Linked DNA regions of Schizosaccharomyces pombe. The gene in region 1 interacts genetically with each later gene. Each region holds a gene or a part of one and is shown on either strand. Other genes may lie near its edges.

Region 1 (4,045 bases):
AAAAAAAATTCCTTCAGTAGTCAACAGTACCTTAGCTATTTTTCTATTTATTTTTATTATTTTTGGCACATCAACAATTGATTGAAATTAACTTTCAAATTTAAAGGTTTTTAACTGTTTGACTTCTTTTTTACATTGACTAAAGTATCATTGCTTCGACCGGCAAACTATCCCAATAATAGATTCTTAAGCTTATTAAAAAAAAATATTTCTTTTATTTTGAAAGATTTAATTGTATTAACGAAGTTTAATAATAAACTCTGATAGCTATACAATTGTTATTTTAATACAACTCATTTTACAATACTAAATGTTCAAGATGAGATTTAACGTTACTTAAAATAATCCCTAATTTAAATTATTATCATTACTATTTTTTTTAAAAAAGAACACTTTTTTTCATAATTCAGGCCCCTACTGTGTAAACACATTTGGATTCCTATAAATTATCAAATATTCCTTTACTAGCTGATATATGGATTCGCTTTATAAAATACAGAAAGATAGAATTTAGTACGAAGTCGGTTCAAATAAATTTATTAAATGGGTTCCAAATGCTGAAGAATTCTACTCACCTCTATAGCGTAAAAAATGGGATGCTGCATTTTCACTTTGCCGGATATTAATTGTTTTATTGTAAATCAGTGCATGGGGTTGGTTAGAGAAAAAAAACGAAAAAAGACTTGTGTAGGTATAAAGAAAAATAAACAAATAAATAAATATAGCATAAAAAAATGACTACAACCATAAAACCTCAAATGAAATATGCAAAAGATAAATTTGTAATTACTTTTTCTAATAAAGTTAACATTCATGTAAAGTAGAAAATCTGTGAAAATTTTTAAAGTGAACAGAAATCTCGAAACATCAATCAGTTACTTTATCATTTTTCATCAAAGCTTTTTCAATCAATAGCAAAGCGAAATCAAATCATTTTGTTTTCAACCTAGGTAGTAAGCTGGCTCGTGTTCATGAATGGGCAAACACTTAAATACTAAGTTAAAATGTATTATAAACGGGTGAACGTCAGAAATAAGGGACATACAAAGCGACAATTGTGAATATTCTCCTTTGGGAAAATGGTCAACAAAATGTAAAAAATCATCAGAAGAGATAAATTTGTGACAAAACAAGACAAACATTTTGTTTGCTTTTTCAAGCATACGGAAAGGGAGTAAGTGAAAATAAGAAATAAAGCATACTCATTAATATTATTAGGTAATTGTTTTGCAAATGAATTAAGCGTGTCTTTGAATGATGTGAAACCCACTGCTCGTTTCAACCACTCCACTAATTTCACCGGGTTTCAAGGCAAACGCAGCGTCTTCAAACGGTTTTTGCATTTCGTCTCTTCCAAATTCGCCTCTACACATAGTGTTAGTAAAAATCGTTCCAGTTGAAAATCAGACTACACTTGGCAAACCAACAAGAGCTTATCACCAAGTGTGGCACCACCATATACTGTCGGTCTTGCGACTCGTATTTAATTACAGTATATCAAAATACATACAATTCACCTCCGCGACGAGCGGAGCTACAATCCGACTCTTTCATGGCTAAATCATGCATGCTTACAGAGCCACTCTTTAGCAATTGTTCATAGTGTTCAGCCAGCTTCCTCGCCTCCTCCTTGCTCCTAGTAATGTGCTCCTCCTTCCATGAGCTGGGACGACGGCTTTCTCGATGCTTTACGAGTAAATGGCTAGCACGAATCTTGGGTGAATTGCTTGCCTCGGTGGGTGTAACTGACTCCTGCAACTCGTTTGCAATGAACTTTTTCAGGGCAGCCATATCAGTGGCAGCCGGAGGCTCCCATAAAGACTCATGCGTCTCAGTATTAAAGAAGTAGGGACGATTTCTGGAGCGTGAAATCTTGACAATCCATGGTTTGGGTAACCCAGTATTAGACATTTTTTTTACCACAACGCTTCTTCAAAAAATGGATTCACTAAGACAGAAAAAATCCTCAACTATAAATTACAAGCAAAACACGTTCAATCTCTGCAATTTGAAGCTTGTTTATTTGCTTTGTTTAGAGTCACGTAGTAGCTAGAGTCGTTTGCCATCTATTATGTAAATAAAGCACATTTGCTATGTTGCTATGTCAACCACCACTAAGGCCTTCGATAGGAAAGGAAATGGGGGCATTCTACCTTTTTATCCCAAGTGGGGGCACTTTCCAAAGTACCAGAAGATAGGGCATACCTTATTCGTCAATTGGAGACAAAACTCAAGGCATGCCTTTTTGCCTCAGCATAAGCGGAACACCTAGCTTGAAAGAGTAAAAAGTCGTAGAGGACTACAAATTCGATATTTATTTAATTAATCAAGAAAAATTGGTGTAATTTGAAGTAGAAACATTTTTTTTCTGGCAGATTTGAGTGGAATTTGAGGAAAAAGGTGAGAAGTTTGGAGATTTCGGATTGTTGAACGAAAATTTGTTGGATTTGAAAATTGTTAGACTTTTGGTGCATTCCTCTTTTCGTTTGTCAAAGTTTACTTAGTGTCGTAGACTGCAGTGAGAAGAGCTCGGTTTTAAGTTTTTTTTTCATAAATAATAGGTTATTGAGGTACAATTCAATTCACCTTAATGCATATTCCACACTTTCATCTTCACAAGGGTCCCAAAGGCGTGCGCACTATATCGTATGAGCAGCTTCTCTCCGAAGATGACTCGTATGCGTCTGAAAAGCTGAGTGAGGACCATGTAACGGAGGTTCATTTTGTTACTGATAAGGACGAGGATTCAAATGCTTCCGGCGAGTCGAGAGGTTCTATGGAGTTGTTGGAAAACTGTTTTTCTTTGCTGCATGCCCAGGACGATACAAGTAAATTTGTGTCATTGACCATGCTTGCAAAATTACTCAATGATCATCCCAATCTCATCTTCAAATGCTGGGAAAGGATGGATATGAAGTTTTTGGACCGCTTGCTCCTTTCCACTCATTACGAGTACGTAGATTTGGGCGTCTCCATCCTTCTCGCTTTCTGCAGTGAAGAAGCCATTTTACGAAGTTATGAAGTGAAAAAAAGGGTTTCTACTTTACTACAGTGTTGTTTGAAACATTATGATCTTTGTATCCCGGTTATATGTACTTTGTCTTCCAACCCAAAATCAGCTAAGTATCTCCTTTACTATACATCATTTATTATCAACGAATTTCCATTTGAACAAGCATTTGAAATCCTTTCAAACGCACTATACGCCCTCGACAACGTACAGACGTATATGCGTCCCATTTTCCAAGGTATCGACAAACGACGCGGATGGAAGTTGGACTGTACTTTCTCGTTTTTTAGCGATTTGTTTTCGCGATTCCCGGTTCAATCATGGTATTCCGAGGCCATTCGTGCTAATCTCCAGCCTTTGATGGATGCGGTTGTTGAACGCTTTATCACCGATAAAAATCTTTCTTCAGCTACCGTTATTCTTTCTAACCTTCTTAAAGCTGCTGGTCCCGCCTCTATTATGCCAAATGATGGGTTTATGATTTTGGTGATTGGTCGCTGCTCTGCTGAGATTCGAGGAAGTCTGGGAATGCTAGTTAAGGCAGTTGGTCAGAAAGGAAAGCATGGAACTGTGTCGTACACGGTTTGTGAATGCTATGAAGTTCTTGGACTCCTCATTCGATATCTATGTGAAAATTGTGACGTTCTTGCCCAAAGAATTGAGCCTGATAAATTTTTCCAACTTCAGCGATCGCTTACTGAGTTGTTTAGCGATACGATGGATTTTCTTCGTGATGCATGGGATAACAATAAAAACCGTGACAATTTAGCATCACATGTAACTGTAATCAGTGCTGTGGCTACCTTGTGTTTGTGGTTGACCGAAGATGACAGCCAATATGCACAAGCCTCTGGTCTTATGGACATATTTGTATATCTGTGGAGGCATAGCTGGTCGAATGGAATTGATTATGCTAAATGGATTAGCGTTGCTCTCCCTTCCATGCTGAGCAACAAGGTTTTCTTTAAAGCTTTTAAAGATTTTGATGCATGGAAAGTTGTTTATGACGATTTTATCAAGTGTAACGATGATTTA
Region 2 (5,260 bases), on another chromosome or scaffold:
GATTGTGTTTCAGTTTCTTATGGGGAGGTAAGTATTTGCTCAAAAAGCCATAGTGGGTGCTTAGTAAATTAGACTACTTTTCCACACTATATAGCCTGTTTGTTTGCAAAATTACTAACAATAACAAATGTAGCTAAAAGCTTGGTTGGACAACGTTTACGAAATGGAAATAAATTCTTAAAATAAAACATTTTTCTTTACAGAATATTTATTTGTTTTTTTGTATCTATTACCATGGTTGTTAATTTAAGTAAATAATAGTTTTCGCTATAATAATATTAGAAGGAAGCTAAGCTTAATGTGGTTTTGAATTACCTACTGCAACACACCGTATTGAAACAAAAACGATCAGGAATAGAAGCCTGACACTTATCAGATAAAATTCATTAATACGTTTTCCTGGTTTAATTATTAATTACGGAAACTCCCATGCTTGTTAAGGTACATACAGACGGTTAATCATAAACTTCTTAGAGGAGAGAGTTTAGCAGTTGTCCTCAAAAAATGGCAAACCCTTTCGTTCGAAATCAATCTTTTAAATCAGTATTTTTTAAAAATTTAGTCGGAATTACCCTATGGGTACCCGTATTAATGTTCGTTGAACAACATGTAGTCAGCGTCGGTACAATTGAAGGTAGATCTATGAAACCAGCCTTTAACCCTGAGACAAACATGCTGCAGAGAGATAGGGTACTACTTTGGAAATGGAATAAGGATTACAAAAGAGGAGATGTAGTTATACTACGGTAAGTTCTTGGATCGTTGCAGGGTCTTTCGGTACTGAGTTTCCCTTTTTATCGTTACTAATAAGCAACAAGCTCTCCAGAAAACCCAGAGGAACTATTGGTAAAAAGAGTTCTAGGAGTAGAATACGATATCATGAAAACGAGACCTCCTAAAAAGTTGTCATTAGTACCCGTTCCCGAGGGACATGTGTGGGTCGAAGGCGATGAACAATTTCATTCTATGTAGGTTTCCAACAATTGTTTTTTTACTTTTTCGTTTTCTTCTATAGAGATATTAACTAGTTTACAGTGATAGTAACAAATTTGGCCCAGTATCGACAGGACTCATCACTGCCAAAGTGATTGCAATTTTGTTTCCCTTCTCTCGTGCAGGGCGTATTGATCATGAAGGTTTCCGAAAGAATGCAGTGTTTTTAAGTGGAAAACGTTCTGTTAAGTAAGCTGCACCACAGTGAACCTGTTTCCTTGACAGTTTAGTTCCATGCTGGTTGGTGCTTATTTACATTTCTTTTAAGGAACACGTTATCCTTAAATTTAATTTATTTCGACGCGTCGCGTTCTATATATGACGTCATTAATATGTCTATCTATTTACCTATTTGAAAAAGATGGAAGTTGGAAGCTACTTTGTATTAGAAATACCAATAAAAAAATATAATTTTTTCATACTCAACATCAAAACTTTTATTTAGGGAAAATTAGAATTGACTGAAAAATCCGTCTCTTTTGCATATCCCGAAACAGTAAAGTCGTTGAGTATAGCAAAGTTGGAAATTTTTCAACAGGGTATTTGAAATGAGAAAGAATTCCATTTCTAAGTAGCCTTTAAATAAAACCCCCAGAAGAAACGAACATTGAAGTAGTCCTTTGTTTTCCTTAGGAAGCCTCATATATCGTTACTTCGAATACGGTCTAACGCCGTACCAAATGTATACAGCTGCGTGAACCTTCCCAGAGCGAATTTGTGTATAACACGAAATCCGAAAAAATTACTTCTATTTATTTGAAAAAGAAAGGAATTCACAATCTCTTAAACAAACCAAGTGGTGAGGAGCTCGAGTCTTCTTTCATGGTCAGTTCAGCACCCTTATTTTCGAGAAAAACGTGCTGCCCTTTATAAAAAATTCGATATTTTTTCGGCATTTTTTATTTTAATATACTATAATGGCTTCAGCCAATTTTATTCGCCAGTTTGAGCTGGGGAACGATTCTTTTTCATACCAAAAACGCCCAGAGGATGAGCCATCACAACCCCTTTCAAACAGAAATATAAACAAACTAAACGATTCATCTACTTTAAAAGACTCTAGTTCAAGGATTTTTATTAACTCCCAAGTTTTACGTGATGGCCGACCCGTAGAATTGTATGCTGTCGAATGTTCAGGCATGAAATATATGGAGCTTAGCTGTGGGGATAATGTTGCTCTTCGAAGATGTCCAGATTCTTACTTTAATATCTCTCAAATACTTCGACTTGCTGGTACTTCGTCATCTGAAAACGCCAAAGAATTGGATGATATTATCGAGAGTGGGGACTATGAGAATGTTGACTCCAAACACCCTCAAATAGATGGAGTATGGGTTCCATATGATCGAGCAATTTCTATAGCAAAGCGATATGGGGTTTATGAAATTTTACAACCATTAATTTCTTTTAATCTTGATTTATTCCCCAAATTTTCAAAGCAGCAACAAATCGAAAGTTCTTCAATCTCCAAAAATTTAAATACTTCTTCTTTTAATACGCGATCCCCTTTGAGGAATCATAATTTTTCAAACCCTAGCAAGTCTTCAAAGAATGGGGTGCACACTATAAACAATATGCAGAGTTCACCTTCACCTTCTTCCTCTTTCTTACTACCTTTAACTCAAATTGATAGCCAAAATGTTAAACGCTCTAACAATTACCTCTCCACCTCTCCACCTATCCTTGAACAGCGTTTAAAACGGCATAGAATTGATGTCAGTGATGAAGACTTACATCCCTCCTCACAGTTAAATGATAATGAGGCCTCTTCATTGTTTCCAGATACGCCAAGGTTGAACCATTCACTTTCTTTTGTATCCTTGGTTTCTAGTCTTCCTCCACTTGATCAGAATATTATGCAGGATTATCATACATCAAAAGACATTTTGACCTCTATCTTTTTAGATGTAAACTTTGCTGATTCCAGCGCCTTAGAAGCAAAGCTGTCGGACTCATTAGATTTGGATGTCCCCATTGACGAACTTGGACACGCCGCTCTGCACTGGGCAGCAGCCGTTGCCAAAATGCCTTTGTTACAAGCCTTAATACATAAAGGAGCTAATCCTTTACGTGGCAACCTCACAGGAGAAACGGCATTAATGAGATCGGTTTTGGTAACCAATCATCTCAATCAGAACTCTTTTGGTGATTTACTAGACTTGCTTTACGCATCTCTTCCCTGTACAGATCGAGCTGGACGGACCGTCGTTCATCACATTTGTCTTACTGCAGGTATAAAAGGCCGAGGTTCAGCATCGAGATATTACTTAGAAACCTTATTAAATTGGGCAAAGAAACATGCAAGTGGTAACAACGGATATATGCTGAAAGACTTCATAAACTATTTAAATCATCAAGATAAAAATGGGGATACAGCTTTAAATATCGCAGCAAGAATTGGAAATAAGAACATTGTTGAAGTTTTAATGCAAGCCGGAGCTTCCGCTTATATTCCTAATCGTGCAGGGTTAAGCGTAGCAAATTTTGGAATTTTTGTTGAAAACGCATTAAAACAACCCGAAGACTCAAAACAAACAAAAGTTTCCCTTATGAGTGAAAATCTGTCCAGCAAAGAAAAGACTGCTGTCCCTCCTCGTCAAAAGAGTAGAGACATTATCGCCTCTGTGACCGATGTAATATCTTCTCTGGATAAAGATTTTCAGGATGAAATGGCTGCAAAACAGTCTATGATTGACTCAGCCTACACCCAATTGCGTGAATCTACAAAAAAGCTGTCCGATCTTCGTGAACAACTACACGTGTCCGAGACGCAAAGAACTTTGTTTCTTGAATTAAGGCAACGTTGTAAAAATCTTATGACTTCGATCGAAGAACAGAAAAGTGAATTAAGTAATCTTTATGAATCTTTTGATCCCAATGGAATACACGATTCATTATCATTGGATGCTGACGCTCCTTTTACTGTCAATGAAAACAACAACAAAAATTTATCTATTGCTGAATTGAAGTTTCAAGTTGCTGCTTATGAGAGAAATGAAGCCAGATTAAACGAATTAGCGAACAAACTTTGGCAACGAAATTCCAACATAAAATCAAAGTGCCGTCGGGTTGTTTCCCTATGCACCGGTGTCGATGAATCTCGAGTGGATTCATTATTGGAAAGTTTGTTACAAGCCGTGGAAAGTGACGGTCAACAGGGAGAAGTAGATATGGGTCGAGTTGCTGGATTCTTACGTGTTGTTAAAGAACATCAAGCATAATATTGCTTTTTGTGGTTTACCACTAAAGTGTCCTGAAATAATTAACTACTTTAATTTTTTTCTTAATATAGAATCCTACCAAATGAATAAAACGTAATTTATTATATGTTAATAATCTTGGCTATTGGAAATTAGTTAAATTTTCATTAAGCTTTTCGAAATATGTTTTTTGCTCTATAGCTAAATTTCCCGATACGCCGCTAAGAACAGTCGAAATGAGGGTATAATTATTGGACAAAAACCTACTTTGTCTCCTTTTGTCATTAACTGTTTTACACAGGTTTTGTAACATGCTCACATAATCCTGAGCTAGTCTTGAAGCACTTCGTGCAACAGGCTCGGCTTCTACGACATTAACACTTAGCATCGAAAGGCTATAAAGTAGTTCAGCTACTCGCTGCGAAAGTGGATGAGGTCGCGAAGTGATTTCTTCTGGCTTCACAGATAAGTTAGTTTTACGGAGTGACTCACAGTGCATGTCCATGACAGCTTGAAAGCGAGGCCACAGAAAAAGAATCATGGAGTTATAGTGTGGCTCAATAACAGGCACTATATTAGTTTGCGCCTGTAAAGCTAATTTTTGAGTAAAACGAATGGACTTCAAAATACCTATGCAATCGATACTGCTTGATATCAATCCTGTAATGTATTTGCGTGAAAAATGTAAAGTTTTTTCAAAGATAGCGGCAAAAACGGTAGCCTGCTGATCTTTAGAGAGGTTAAAGTACTCCAGCAAAAAAGCATATTCAGAAGAGACGTGTTCCGTCAAGACTAATTCCCATGAGCAATAAACACGTTCAATATATTGTGGGGAAGATTCAATATGATGCATTGTAGATGCTGTCAACACAGAGTTCATATCAAAATCCTGAGGGCGCAAGTTTACTGAGAGCATTTGATTCCCGTAAGATTGTTGTGCTCCTTTGGAAAGGTTGAAGAGTCCTTTCCGATCCTCTTCAACGCGAATAGTTTCTCCCTTAAGGACATGAACTTTGTCCAAAAACCTAGAGTACTGTTCGAAGTGGTATAGATAAAACCAATTCATC

Evidence for each region. Genes that interact genetically often act in the same process or in processes that back each other up.
Region 2: mutations in pin1 (region 1) and cdc10 impair growth when combined (synthetic growth defect), as found in Schizosaccharomyces pombe (one study listed by BioGRID).

Annotation. Positions count from the first base shown.
Region 1 is NC_003421.2:662,534-666,578, reverse strand, and holds pin1 (peptidyl-prolyl cis-trans isomerase Pin1), read right to left. Parts: upstream 2,048-4,045; 5' UTR 1,912-2,047; coding exon 1,511-1,911; exon of another isoform or gene 1,366-1,510; coding exon 1,239-1,365; 3' UTR 522-1,238; downstream 1-521. Other genes in the region: protein asi1, read left to right, coding at 2,591-4,045. UniProt on the Schizosaccharomyces pombe protein: Has a role in the G1/S stage transition of mitosis where it is involved in the dephosphorylation of cdc25 and wee1.
Region 2 is NC_003423.3:2,760,241-2,765,500, reverse strand, and holds cdc10 (DNA-binding transcription factor, MBF transcription factor complex subunit Cdc10), read left to right. Parts: upstream 1-1,700; 5' UTR 1,701-1,910; coding exon 1,911-4,214; 3' UTR 4,215-4,335; downstream 4,336-5,260. Other genes in the region: PAN complex subunit Ppk26, read left to right, coding at 1-27, 134-181; mmp2 (endopeptidase catalytic subunit), read left to right, coding at 505-746, 819-968, 1,036-1,186; GARP complex subunit Vps52, read right to left, coding at 4,336-5,260. UniProt on the Schizosaccharomyces pombe protein: Major component of the cell cycle transcription factor complex MBF (MCB binding factor, also known as DSC1), that controls G1-S phase specific gene expression. Involved in the control of rRNA production, via interaction with pol5.